3 linked regions of the Caenorhabditis elegans genome follow. The protein of the gene in region 1 interacts with the protein of each later gene in a pairwise test. Each region holds a gene or a part of one and is shown on either strand. Other genes may lie near its edges. The genes, in order: C09G1.4, uso-1 and sorb-1.

Region 1 (3,754 bases):
TTCTGAATGTGTAGTACTGGGCTCTTCGGGAGCAAAAATGAAAAAGGCACACACACATACACAGACATAGTCTCGCTTGAAAAGGTCCACGAACACAGAGACTTGGCATTTGAGATGGGTTACAAAAAAAAACGCTGACCGCGCGCCGCGTCACTTGCTCACTTTCCGTTTTTCTTATTTTGAAAAGCTTGTCGTTTTGGTGTGTATGGCATGTTACACTGAAACTGAGAAAACTTGACGCTTTGTGGTGAGCGACAAAAAAGGGAGAATTACTTTGCAATTGAAAGCCAGAGATCAAATATCTGTTAGATTCGCTTCAAAATTTTGGAATACAAACGCACAATTTAGCAGTTAAATTCAATTGCTCCAAAAAAAATTTTTTCTACACTAACGTTTTCAACACTAACTAAGAATTACTCAAGACTTACCTAACGTTTTACCTAATTTGAAAACATTTATTTCACAGAGACGATTGAAAAGTTTTAAATAGCGGAAATGCGCTCCTAAAATTTTAATAGAGTTTGTTTTGTTTCAATGACTTTCAGATCTAAATTTTCCGAAATTAGTTCTTGCAGACTATTAATGGCCACTGGAGTTTTGGGGAATAGGCAAAAACGGGTATTATTTAAACATGGAGTAGACACTCATTATGATCTAAAAAGACCAAATATCTTAATAATACAATTCAAAAAATTTCAGGCTTTTCATAATTTCCGGTTAAACTTTGGCAAATTTTCAGAATTTTGAAAAATAAGAGCTTTTGAAGAAATCCAAAGCAATTTCACATGTTCCGGGCCCTACAATGTTTTAATCCAAATAATTACTGTATAAAAAATGTAGAAACATTTTTTTGGTCGACTTCCAAAATTATGATTGGCAAAAACTGAGTAATTGTCACTTTTTGACAATAAATAAGTTTCATTATGATATGTGGTCATTTTGGGACCAAAGGAGTGGTTTTTAACAACTTTCCCACTGGCGCTACTCCACTTTTAAAGAAAAATAGCGAAAAAATTTTGCAATTTTTTAAAACATTCCGTTAAAAAATACCAAACATTTTACCGAAAAAAATATAATGTTCATAATTTTTTAATATGTTACTTTGAAAATTCTGCAAAGACCGATTTCGGAGCATATTCACAATTCTAAACAAAAATAAAAAAAAAAAAACTCCAGAAGTAGTTACGTGTTTAAAATATCTTTCATATTATGAATATCTGTATCCATAAACTGTGGCTGAACTGAACTCATAGAAACATGTAAAAAACATAATTGTGCAAAAATGGCTACACCACTGCATTCGAAAAAGTACGTTTTTGAAAAATTCATAATTTGCCTCTTTTAGCTCGGAAATAATTCATGATGAACGAATACTAAATGACTAGAGCAAAAAACAGGAAAAAAATTGTTCAAACGGTTAAAAGAAATTATGTATTACATAGTAAATGTTCCAAAAAAAACGTGAATAAATATTTGTAACCTGTTTTTTAAGCAACAAGCGCCAAAAACATTTTCCAGTCGATGCACCATGTTCGAAATCTAGTATTCCACATTTATTTTAGGCATATGGTAGGTAATAACTTTGCTCTTACAAAAAATATTAGAAACAAATCACAGAAAAAAAACATTTTTTGCGAAAAAGACACGTATTCAAAAAAAGGTACGTCTATTGAAAATTCATAATTTTTCCCTTTTCTATTTGTAGATGACGAGCGAATACTGAATGACTGGTGCAAAAAAGAAGAAATTAATTTTGAATTTGGAAAAAAAAGTGAGAAATAATTATGACGTACCTCCTTGTTGATAAAACTGGCCACGCCCCAAATTTCGAGGTTTTGGTGGGGGCATTGGAGCCTGCCGATTTCCAGAAGACATTGTGATTTGTGTCTCTGAAAATTGTAAGTTTATAAGAGAACAATTTGAAAAAAAAGATAACATATCAGAGGTAAAGAAACAAATGATAACATCAAAGACCTGATGGGATATAATCGGCCTAGTTAAGGTATGTTCTCAATTTTTGGGGGCTGCGGAAAAGTAGGGGAAAAAAAGAAGGCGAAAAAAAAGCGAGATGGACGTAAAGATGTGAAAAGTGACACTGTTAATTGGATATATATGTAAAGTGGACACAATCGTGACTGGCACTGGTGCACGTACTGACGTCTTGGAAGTTTTAGGTGTGTTTTGATCAAGAGTAATTAAATATATAAGGGGGCAAATAGCTCAGTCGGTAGTGGTGGCCGCTAGCAATCTGGAGGTCACGAGTTCAAGTCCGGCCTCACTTCCTAGGTTCACCCAGCCCCTATTGGGAAGTGGAGCAATCCAAGACTGGATTATCGGCCACAGTCCCCGGCTCGGACGTGGCTTAAATTACAACCCAGTGGGATCACCACCAGGCAGTGTACCTGAGTCCCAGATCCGCAGTGCATAGCACTTGGAGAACGGATCGTCCTTTGACCCTTTAATCTTTAAATAGTGAAAAATAGCTACCCTCGTATTGTTAGAAATATCGGATTTTACTATGATGAGTAAGGAAACTGATTGAAAGAGCATCGGAAAAAAAGATTAAGAGCACGCTTTCAAAAATACAGCTTTCTTCCAAAATAACCAAACAATGCACCTAAAACTTTCTATTAAAAAAAAACAAAAAACAACTTGTGTCCCCATTGACAATTCAATGTTTGAACACCAACTTCGGCATTCGAACTTGAAGCAAAAAAAAAACAGTTTTTCTTCACTACTATCTCTAGAATGCACACCATTCGTGGGCACACCGACCTAATAGAACTGTCCCCAGGGACGGATTGATCACGAAAAGGAAAAGGTCATACAACACACAATGCAGTCGTTCAGAACAATGTGATAACAAGAAAAAAAATAGAAGAGTGGGTGTACAGAAGAAAAGCAAGGAATGTTCTGGAAAAGTGAAAAAAAACGAACTTGAATACAGTGTAAACATTACATAGAACTAGGATTTTTTGGCGAAAACATAGAAATGGCGAGATTGTTCAGAAGAGACCCCAAAAGCTTTTGATGATAACTATTAGGACCTCCATGGAAGCGGCCGACACTTTTCGGGTTCCGCGCAGCACTAAGCAGGAGGCGCGGCTCGCGGCACGAGGCAGACGTCGCCTGCATGAAAGCCCTAATATTTATGTTTAATAAAACCACTGGTATTGCAAACTTTTTCGTGATTGTCATTGGGTTTTAATTTTAAATTGAGGGTAATGACTATAAAGAGGACTATGAAAAATTTAACTTCAAAATTCTAAACTTCAAAAACTACCGCAATACCAAAAATGTGACTCACTTATGATCAGTATCTGAACCGCCAAACCCATTTGCATTATTGCTTGGTAATCTAACACCCGAATGGCGGTAGACACACACACACGTCAAAAGTTAGGGTTCCATCCCGTCCCCCTCTCGTTAAACACATGTTTAATCTCGCCAGATGGTTGTGATGCCTTAGTGAATGATGTACTTACTCTTAAGCGACGAACTTCTCTTTTTGTGCGAGCCGAAGCAGCAGGATGTACGTGATGTATCAGGAAACACATAAATCTATCGCGAAAAAATGGGGAGAAAAAGAAAGAAGAAGAATACTGAAAATAGCGAACAAAACTAAAGATTGATAATTTATGCAACGGGTAATAGATAATGGGTAAAAAAATACTTTTCAATTTGTCGGAAAACTTGTAATAAATGCGTTCCGATTAACAGAACTAATAGTAAGATGTTAAATTATTTCGCCACA
Region 2 (3,754 bases), on another chromosome or scaffold:
TGCCGTTTTTTGAGGAATTTTCAGTCGATAGGCCCCTTATTCAGTGCCTTTGGCCTGAAAATGTATCTCAATCGGAGAAAATACGGATAAATTAAAAAGAAAATTAATTTGCGGTTGTTGTGACACCGATAAGTTGACGAAATTGGAGATTTTAGCTGAAATTAGTGAATTTTTTAAAGCATCTTGATTTTTTTCTCGTTAATTTCGGAATAAAAACCTTCGAACTCCAATATCGAATTGTTCAACGGCGCATAAAACTGAAGAAATGAAGCCTTTTCGTTTAATCATCACTTCGGCTAATCGTTCTCCTAATTCATCGGATTCTGAAGAATCGTCGTCTGTTGACAAAACGATTGCCATCGTGTCGAGCACAATTGTCATGGCTTCGGTGTTCATGCGATCTGTTTCAAGCACGTCAATGAATGCATTCATTCCCATTGTTCCGACGGCTAATCGATATTTCTGAAATTACACGTTTAATTTTAATTGTTTAATTTTAATAGTTCAAATGATTTTTTCTCTCACCTTTGCGACACCTTTCAGCCCTCTCAACGCATCTCGACGGTCTTCTGGTGCCGTACAAGTTTCTGCTCGTTCCACAAGTGTTTCTACATATTCAGCTCCATTATCCTCGTCTTCATCTTGCTGTCCGCCGCCAAAAAAGTTCCGAAACAGCGACATCTGCAAAGCTACACGTGGCAGTGAGCGGAAAATGGGATTGTCGTGTTGTTGAGCGAATATAAATGATAATTAAATGCATTTTTTAATTTAATTTATTTATTTCTAAATATTTTTCTTTATTTTCTGAATTTTAACATAAAATAAATGAAAAAAAACGGGAAAAAAAGAAGAGAAAAGTGGAAAAACCTGTCGTGGAATTGGAGGATGCGTTCTCAATGGAGCGCGCTTGCTGACTCTTTTCGGACTTCGTTTTTTCGCTTGCAGACGTTGACGGAAATTGCTCTGAAAAAAAGATCTGCTCAAAAAGTGAATAAAACAAATATTTCAATTGTTTTAATAACAAAATTTGCATATTCAACTGAATAATAATTATACTGAATTCAAGAATTTCAAAAAAATTGGAGAAAGTTTGGGAAACAGATGGAAATTTTCAATAAAATCGTCGAGAAAACATTTTCTGTCAAAATCCGGATTAAATCCAGAAAGAAGAGTACCAGCTGCCCACGAAAATTTCGGGTTTTCCCCCAAAAGAACAGTCTTGAGTCCTGACACGATCGAAACTTTTCAGCTAAATACCGTACACGTGGCTCAAGCCAGTGGTCACGGTGTTTTATTTTATACTCATACCCAACATTTTGCGATTTTTGCGCCAAAAATACGGTTCCTGGTCTCGACACGACTTTTTTTTTGTTATATTCAAACCAGGGCGCGCCTTTAAAGAGTACTGTAATTTCGAACTTTCGTTGTTGCAGGGTTTTCATCGTTTTTTCATAGTTCTTCGTTAAAAAAGGCTGTTTTTATTTTGTAAAAAACTGAAGTAAAACAATTAAAACACATAAATTTTAAGAAAAACAATGAAAAGTCGAATAAAATGCCGCAGCGACAAAAGTTTAGAATTACAGTACTCTTTAAAGGAGAGCACCCGTTTCCATGCAACGAAAAATTGTCGTTTTGAGACCAAGAACTACCGTATTTTTCGCGCAAAACACATAAAAATTGCAAAATTTCCCGTCTGGCTAATATCTTTAATAAATATAAAGCATAGATTTTTTATAAATTGACAGGCTATTTTCAAATATTAAATTAAAAAAAAACAAAAATCAGCGCTAATATGCTCAATTCAAAATTTTTTAAATTGAAAAACATTGGTTAAAAGTAGAAATAACAATAAATCAATATATTTTGCAACAACTTTACCTGAGGCAAATTGAAAAACGCATTGGAAATTGTCGTGTCACTGGAAAACGATCTAACTGAAAGAGTTGATCCGGTAATTGAAGACGTTGAATAAGCGAACATTTCGATTGAATAAAACTATCGGCTCAGAGAGTGTTAGAGTGCGTAAAAGTGTAATGTAGGAAGAGGGCACATTGAGTGAGTTGATCGGGAGAGAAAAGTGAAGAGAAAACGGATAGAATAACAGAATACTGTTACTTCAAAATGTTTTGATTACGGGTAATGTATACATTTCGATATATATTAGCTTTCAGGCAAATCAACAAATTACTGGAATTGAAATTTCTGGCAAACTTTATTTTATTTTATTTCAATGTGTTTCAATGTTCAAAAAAAGAAAAATTTCCGAATATACTTCAAATATAATTCAAATAAATGCCCAAGTTAGAGTACTCAGATAAATCGAACCACGCAGGCACCGCTCCAAACCACGCAGGTGACTGCCCACCACGCAGTCAACGCGTCAAGACCACGCAGGCAACCAAAAGCACGCAGGTGACGCCTAGGAACCACGCAGGCGACTTGACGGTGGGCAGCTATTGGCAGTGGCTGCAAAACCACGCAGGTGACGCCTACATACCATGCAGGCAGCCAACGTTCAGCCACGCGCGGGATTCCTAGGCCAATGGCTGCGTACTCCTCTTGGACAACTTTTTCTTCTATTTTTTTTTCCTAATTTAATGGAATTTTCCGTTTTTTTTCTTGCAAAAAGCACTTTTATATTAATTTTCAATTTCTTCATGAAACTCAATAATTGTTTTCAGGTAAATATGTCAACCCCGGCCCGAAAAACCCCAAAAGGAGGCCGAAAGCGGCGTGGCAATGGACTGGAGGCGCCGCATTCGATTGGTCGCTTCAACGTAAGATAAACTTTATTTTTAAAAAATATATAGCAACAAAATTTCAGAAAAAACCTTCGGAATCGTTCGTTCGAACTATGGACTGGGATTTCAAAGAGCTTAGGAAAATCGCGGAAAATTCCAAGTCAAAGGTGAACAGAAGTTTGGCAGCTGCACAAATTCTCCAAATCCAGATGTAGTTAAAATAGTTCACTTTTCAGACAATTCCTCCAGAGCTCCTCCACACCTTCAGTGTCCACCCAAATTCGGTGAATCATCAGATTCTTCAAGGAAGACTTCTCAATTGTCCTATCAGTAAGCTATTCTTGTCCAATTTTTTTTTAAACAAAAATTTTCAGGCGTTCTTCACAATATTCTACATGTTGTAGCCGGATTCGAAGGACAGTTCCCGAGTGCGGATTTTGGCGATGTTTTCTCCCGACAGGTGGATCAAAAATGGTAAACACCCTTCTATCAATTTGTATTTCCAAAAATCAATAATATTGCAGCTTGAACGCACGGAAAAAGATGAGCCAGGAAAAGGACACACCATCACACTGATCACTGGGACGAAAACAACTGCCTAATGGACTTAATTTTGTTTCCCACCTTTTTTTGTTGTTATTTTTGAGATTTTCGTACTTTGCGTTTTAGATGGTTAAACGGTAGGAAGGGGAAGGAGCGGGCTGCGAACTGCCATTGCTGCAAGACCACGCAGGTGTCGCCTCCAAACCACGCAGGCAACGCGTTGAAACCACGCAGGGACTGGCATTCTTGAGCGTGGTTTGTACGCGTTGCCTGCGTGGTTTGGAGCGGTGCCTGCGTGGTTCGGTTTATCTGAGTAGTAAATTTTAAGGTCTTTCAGCATATACCAATAATATTCCAGTAGGTACAAGAAGCTTCACGTAGTTACAGAAATAGTACATTTTCAGCCCTACCTTTTAGTGCGTATTTTATTATTTAATGAAAACTACCATTTATAGGCAAAAATAGATGAA
Region 3 (3,754 bases), on another chromosome or scaffold:
AATACTCATTTTTATAGATTTGGTAACTAATAAAAAAACTATTTTTAAGCACAATTAGTCTCCTAGGTTTATTCTTCGATGGCAAATTGTGATGCGAACGGCAAAAAACTATAATTTTTTTGAACAAATTTTTTGCAAATTTTAACTGTTTCTATGAAGTGTTAAAGTTTCTGTTCTTCCTTTGAAACTAATAAGCTTGCGCTCCACCTTTTTTTAAATACAACGGTTACTTCTGGCCAAAAGAGTACTAAATCAAAGGTGTGATGATCATGATCATAGTGATGAAAAAGTTTGTCTGGTCACTTGAGAGCAGTTCCATCTTCTCTCCTCTCATTCTCTTTCTCTTCAGCAGGTCCATCCGGCAATTGCTTAACAAAAATTGAAAGAAGAAAGACGAAAAGTGTGTAAAGTCATGTATATAGTGAGCAAAAAGATAGAGAGACGCAGACACTGAGAGAATGTGATTCTGTTTCGTGTCCCGGGGACAGAAGACGCAATGAGGGACATTCTTAGTTTCTCTAAGTGTGGCTCTCGCAACAATAATATCACTCGATTTACTGATAAAATTTTTCTTATTTTGGTTTTTTTGTCGTATTTCAAAATAACAACTTTTCGTAAAACCTAGTACTGTTTCGGGCTTGTTAACTATTACAACTGTGAAACGGTAATTTTTATTATTTTAATTTTCAATAATTTTAGTTTTCAGTGAAATACATAACTGATTTTGCAACTCCTACAATCATTGAGTTCTAATTATTTAAACTTAATGAAAGTGTAAAAAATCGTAGAAATAATTTTTTGGGTCGAACCCCAAATTCTGATAGATGAAATGTGGCCTTTTCCCTGTTATAAAAAATTTTTAACCTAAAAGTTTTACTATTCTTGAAAAAACTGCTCAAGTGACCAGACAACATTTTTCAAAAGTTGTACGTCTTACATACTCATGGACAAAGGTGGAATAGATTTGAAAATGTTGTAAAAGCTTTACCATTTCAAAGAAACAGTATAAAATTTAAACACTTGTTCCAGAATGTTATTTTCATTTTTAAAATTAAAAAATTACAAGTGTCTTTTCTATTTTAAGAAAACAAAAATTAGCATTTTTCAATTCCAGCAATGGCAAAATTGTGATTGCCGTGCACATTTTACCCGGTCTTGGAAGCTATTTTTAAAAACTAGATACATTCTCATTCAAGTCTCAAAAGGTGTTCAAAACTTTAAAAACAATAACTTTAACACAAGCATTAACATTTCAACAAAAATTATGATTTTAAGGATTGCGTCAATTGAACGTGAATCCATTGTGGGAGCTTTAACACTTAAATGAAACAGTCAAAACAAAAATTGACAATATGGTCATTTAAGTACCATCCTTATAATTCCAAAAATGCATTCTACTGGCGCTCCTAAATGTCAAATTTAGTTGGAAATTGGGTTCAAAATCTTTATAGAATTTAAAAATCTAGTGAGAAAATATTTTGAAAATTAAAACAAATTTTCAAGATGTCTGAAGTTTTCTGGAAAATGGAAAATATTCTTGAATAGTGTACATCCCATGAATCTGCAATTATTGTCAGATTGGGTAAAGTTCGAGAACTATAAAAACTGTTACAGTACAAATTTCAAAAAAAAATCCCATTTCTGACAGAACATATTAGTCTTCCGTATTTCACATTTTTCATTTATTCTTTCCTTTATTTTGTTATACAATTCTTCAAACTCCCATATTCCAGGAATGATGCATCATCCTCATCCATTCGGGTCAAACCTGGCGGTAAGAGCTTTCAATTAATCTACTCCACAATCCCTAATTAATTTCCAGAACTCATCAGAACCACAACAGCCATCTGGTCAATATCTAAATCCTGCAGCAGATGCCTACAACTTTGACACCTTTGAAGATTCTGATAAATTCTCACCGAAGGGAAATGTGGCGGCGTTGAGAAATGTGATACATGGGCAGTTGGATATGAAGACACCAACTGGAAATAGTTCCAGATATCAGAAACCAGCGCCTCCGCCTGTTGGTGAGTTTTGTTTTTCTAGGCGTTCTATGTATTAAGCTACGAAATAATAGTTTTCGGAAAGTAACACATAGCTCATATGAATTCCTTGAAACTGTAAAAAATGTTAGTCAACAAGATAGTCAACAAATACACGATTGGCTGAGACCTGGTACCTCGACGGACCTGGAAGATGAAGCAGCAATTTTGCAATTAGATTTTTGTCATTTTTTCTATTAATAGTAAGATATTTTGGTTTCTGTCCGAATGCTGCAAACAGTAACAATAAAGTTTTGAAGTAGTCTTATAAACTATCTAAAACTGTTTTTTTTGTATAATTTTTTCTGATTTTGCGGAAAACAACTCCTGATGTCTCTCCTAACCAGCAATATTCAAAAAATCCAAATGTTTTGATGTTCAATAAAATAATAAATTCCAGACTCAACTCCTTCCTGGGCCAAAAATGTAAAAGTATACGAACCAAATGGATATGTGGATCCACATCTTAACAAGCATAATATGGGAAGAGTACTTGATGGTCCTGTCAATCCAAATAAATATTTTCAAGGAGTGAGTTTTATTTTGAAAAAAACAGCGATACAATAAAGCAACGAACTTTTCAAACTGAAAACAATGTGCTGAAATAGTTAAATTTAGTTATTACTGACCATTTTTTACTGATATTATTTTCTTTTTGGCTTTTTTTACAAGCTATGAGTGAAACACGTGAGTTTTTTTCTAGAAATTATTATCGACTAAAGCTTCACTAAAAATTGTAAAATATGAGCAAAATTATTTTGAGTTTTGAAGTTTTCTACTTTTCAGAAATACAATTCACAAGTAATAATAGCTTCTATATACGAAATTTCAAAAATTTAACAGTTTTTAAGTTAAAAAAGAACAAACCGATCAGATCAAACCGGAAAATTGTAAATGTCCTAAATGGCTTTCACGAAACAGTAGAACTTTCTTTTTAATTTTCCGAAAACACAACTTTTCAGTTCTATTTTGAAAATTGTACATTCCGGGAAGTTTATGAAAAATCCTTATGTAGATAAAAATTTACGCAAAATTGTTTTAAAAAACGTTAAAATTTTGTGTACAGTTTGAAGATTTGCAAAAATTTAAAACAATGAAAATACTTTTTCGTGTTGTCTATGAAAACTACATTACTATTTTTTTGTGATAGGAAAACTTATAGGAAAAATGTTTTGAGTACTTTTTAAAACTTGCAAATGCAAATGACCTGAAAAATCGCCAAGACATTTCATGTTGTTCTAAAAAATTTAGTGCTTATTCTCTTACTTAGACTTGTTGCGACACACTGAAGATTGAAACCAATAAACATTTTTCGCTTGTTCTATTGTCATGACATAAAATTCCTGAAACAGAAAAAATTGTGGTTTCTATTTTTTTTTTTTCAATTTTCTATGAAAATTGGGTCAAATAGTGTCTGAAAGTTGTCATTTGCTGAAAAAGTTTCACGGCAAACCCTAACTCAGGCACTATTTGAGATAATTTTCGAACTTTGCAGAAAAAATAAATATCATTATCAGATAGAACTCATAGAACAAACCTTGTCCTACATTTCTGTAATGATTTTTGATACAAAAAAAATATAATCACCAAACTAAAATACGTAGGTTTGTACATTTGCTGAAAAGATTTTCCGCGCAGAACTGATTCTAACCAGGAAAATCAATAAAATTATAAAGTTTTATTCAATTCGGTGTTGATACCTCCAATTTCTT

The links.
Region 2: the proteins of C09G1.4 (region 1) and uso-1 interact in a two-hybrid assay, tested with the Caenorhabditis elegans proteins (3 studies listed by BioGRID).
Region 3: the proteins of C09G1.4 (region 1) and sorb-1 interact in binary tests that used the Caenorhabditis elegans proteins (3 or more experiments, as listed by UniProt).

What each region holds. Positions count from the first base shown.
Region 1 is NC_003284.9:15,995,047-15,998,800, forward strand, and holds the start of C09G1.4 (uncharacterized protein), read right to left. Parts: upstream 1,892-3,754; 5' UTR 1,876-1,891; coding exon 1,794-1,875; intron 1-1,793.
Region 2 is NC_003282.8:13,452,819-13,456,572, forward strand, and holds the start of uso-1 (Uso1_p115_head domain-containing protein), read right to left. Parts: upstream 1,981-3,754; coding exon 1,879-1,980; intron 964-1,878; coding exon 868-963; intron 682-867; coding exon 526-681; intron 463-525; coding exon 218-462; intron 1-217. Other genes in the region: Y38H8A.7 (uncharacterized protein), read left to right, coding at 2,688-2,777, 2,825-2,908, 2,978-3,071, 3,116-3,215, 3,266-3,317.
Region 3 is NC_003282.8:13,748,601-13,752,354, forward strand, and holds the start of sorb-1 (SH3 domain-containing protein), read left to right. Parts: upstream 1-1,732; 5' UTR 1,733-1,735; coding exon 1,736-1,774; intron 1,775-1,822; coding exon 1,823-2,027; intron 2,028-2,052; exon of another isoform or gene 2,053-2,073; intron 2,074-2,258; exon of another isoform or gene 2,259-2,282; intron 2,283-2,442; coding exon 2,443-2,573; intron 2,574-2,584; exon of another isoform or gene 2,585-2,605; intron 2,606-2,659; exon of another isoform or gene 2,660-2,683; intron 2,684-2,896; exon of another isoform or gene 2,897-2,917; intron 2,918-3,155; exon of another isoform or gene 3,156-3,176; intron 3,177-3,189; exon of another isoform or gene 3,190-3,210; intron 3,211-3,326; exon of another isoform or gene 3,327-3,347; intron 3,348-3,754. UniProt on the Caenorhabditis elegans protein: Required for organization of sarcomeres in body wall muscles and for maintaining normal mitochondrial position in myocytes.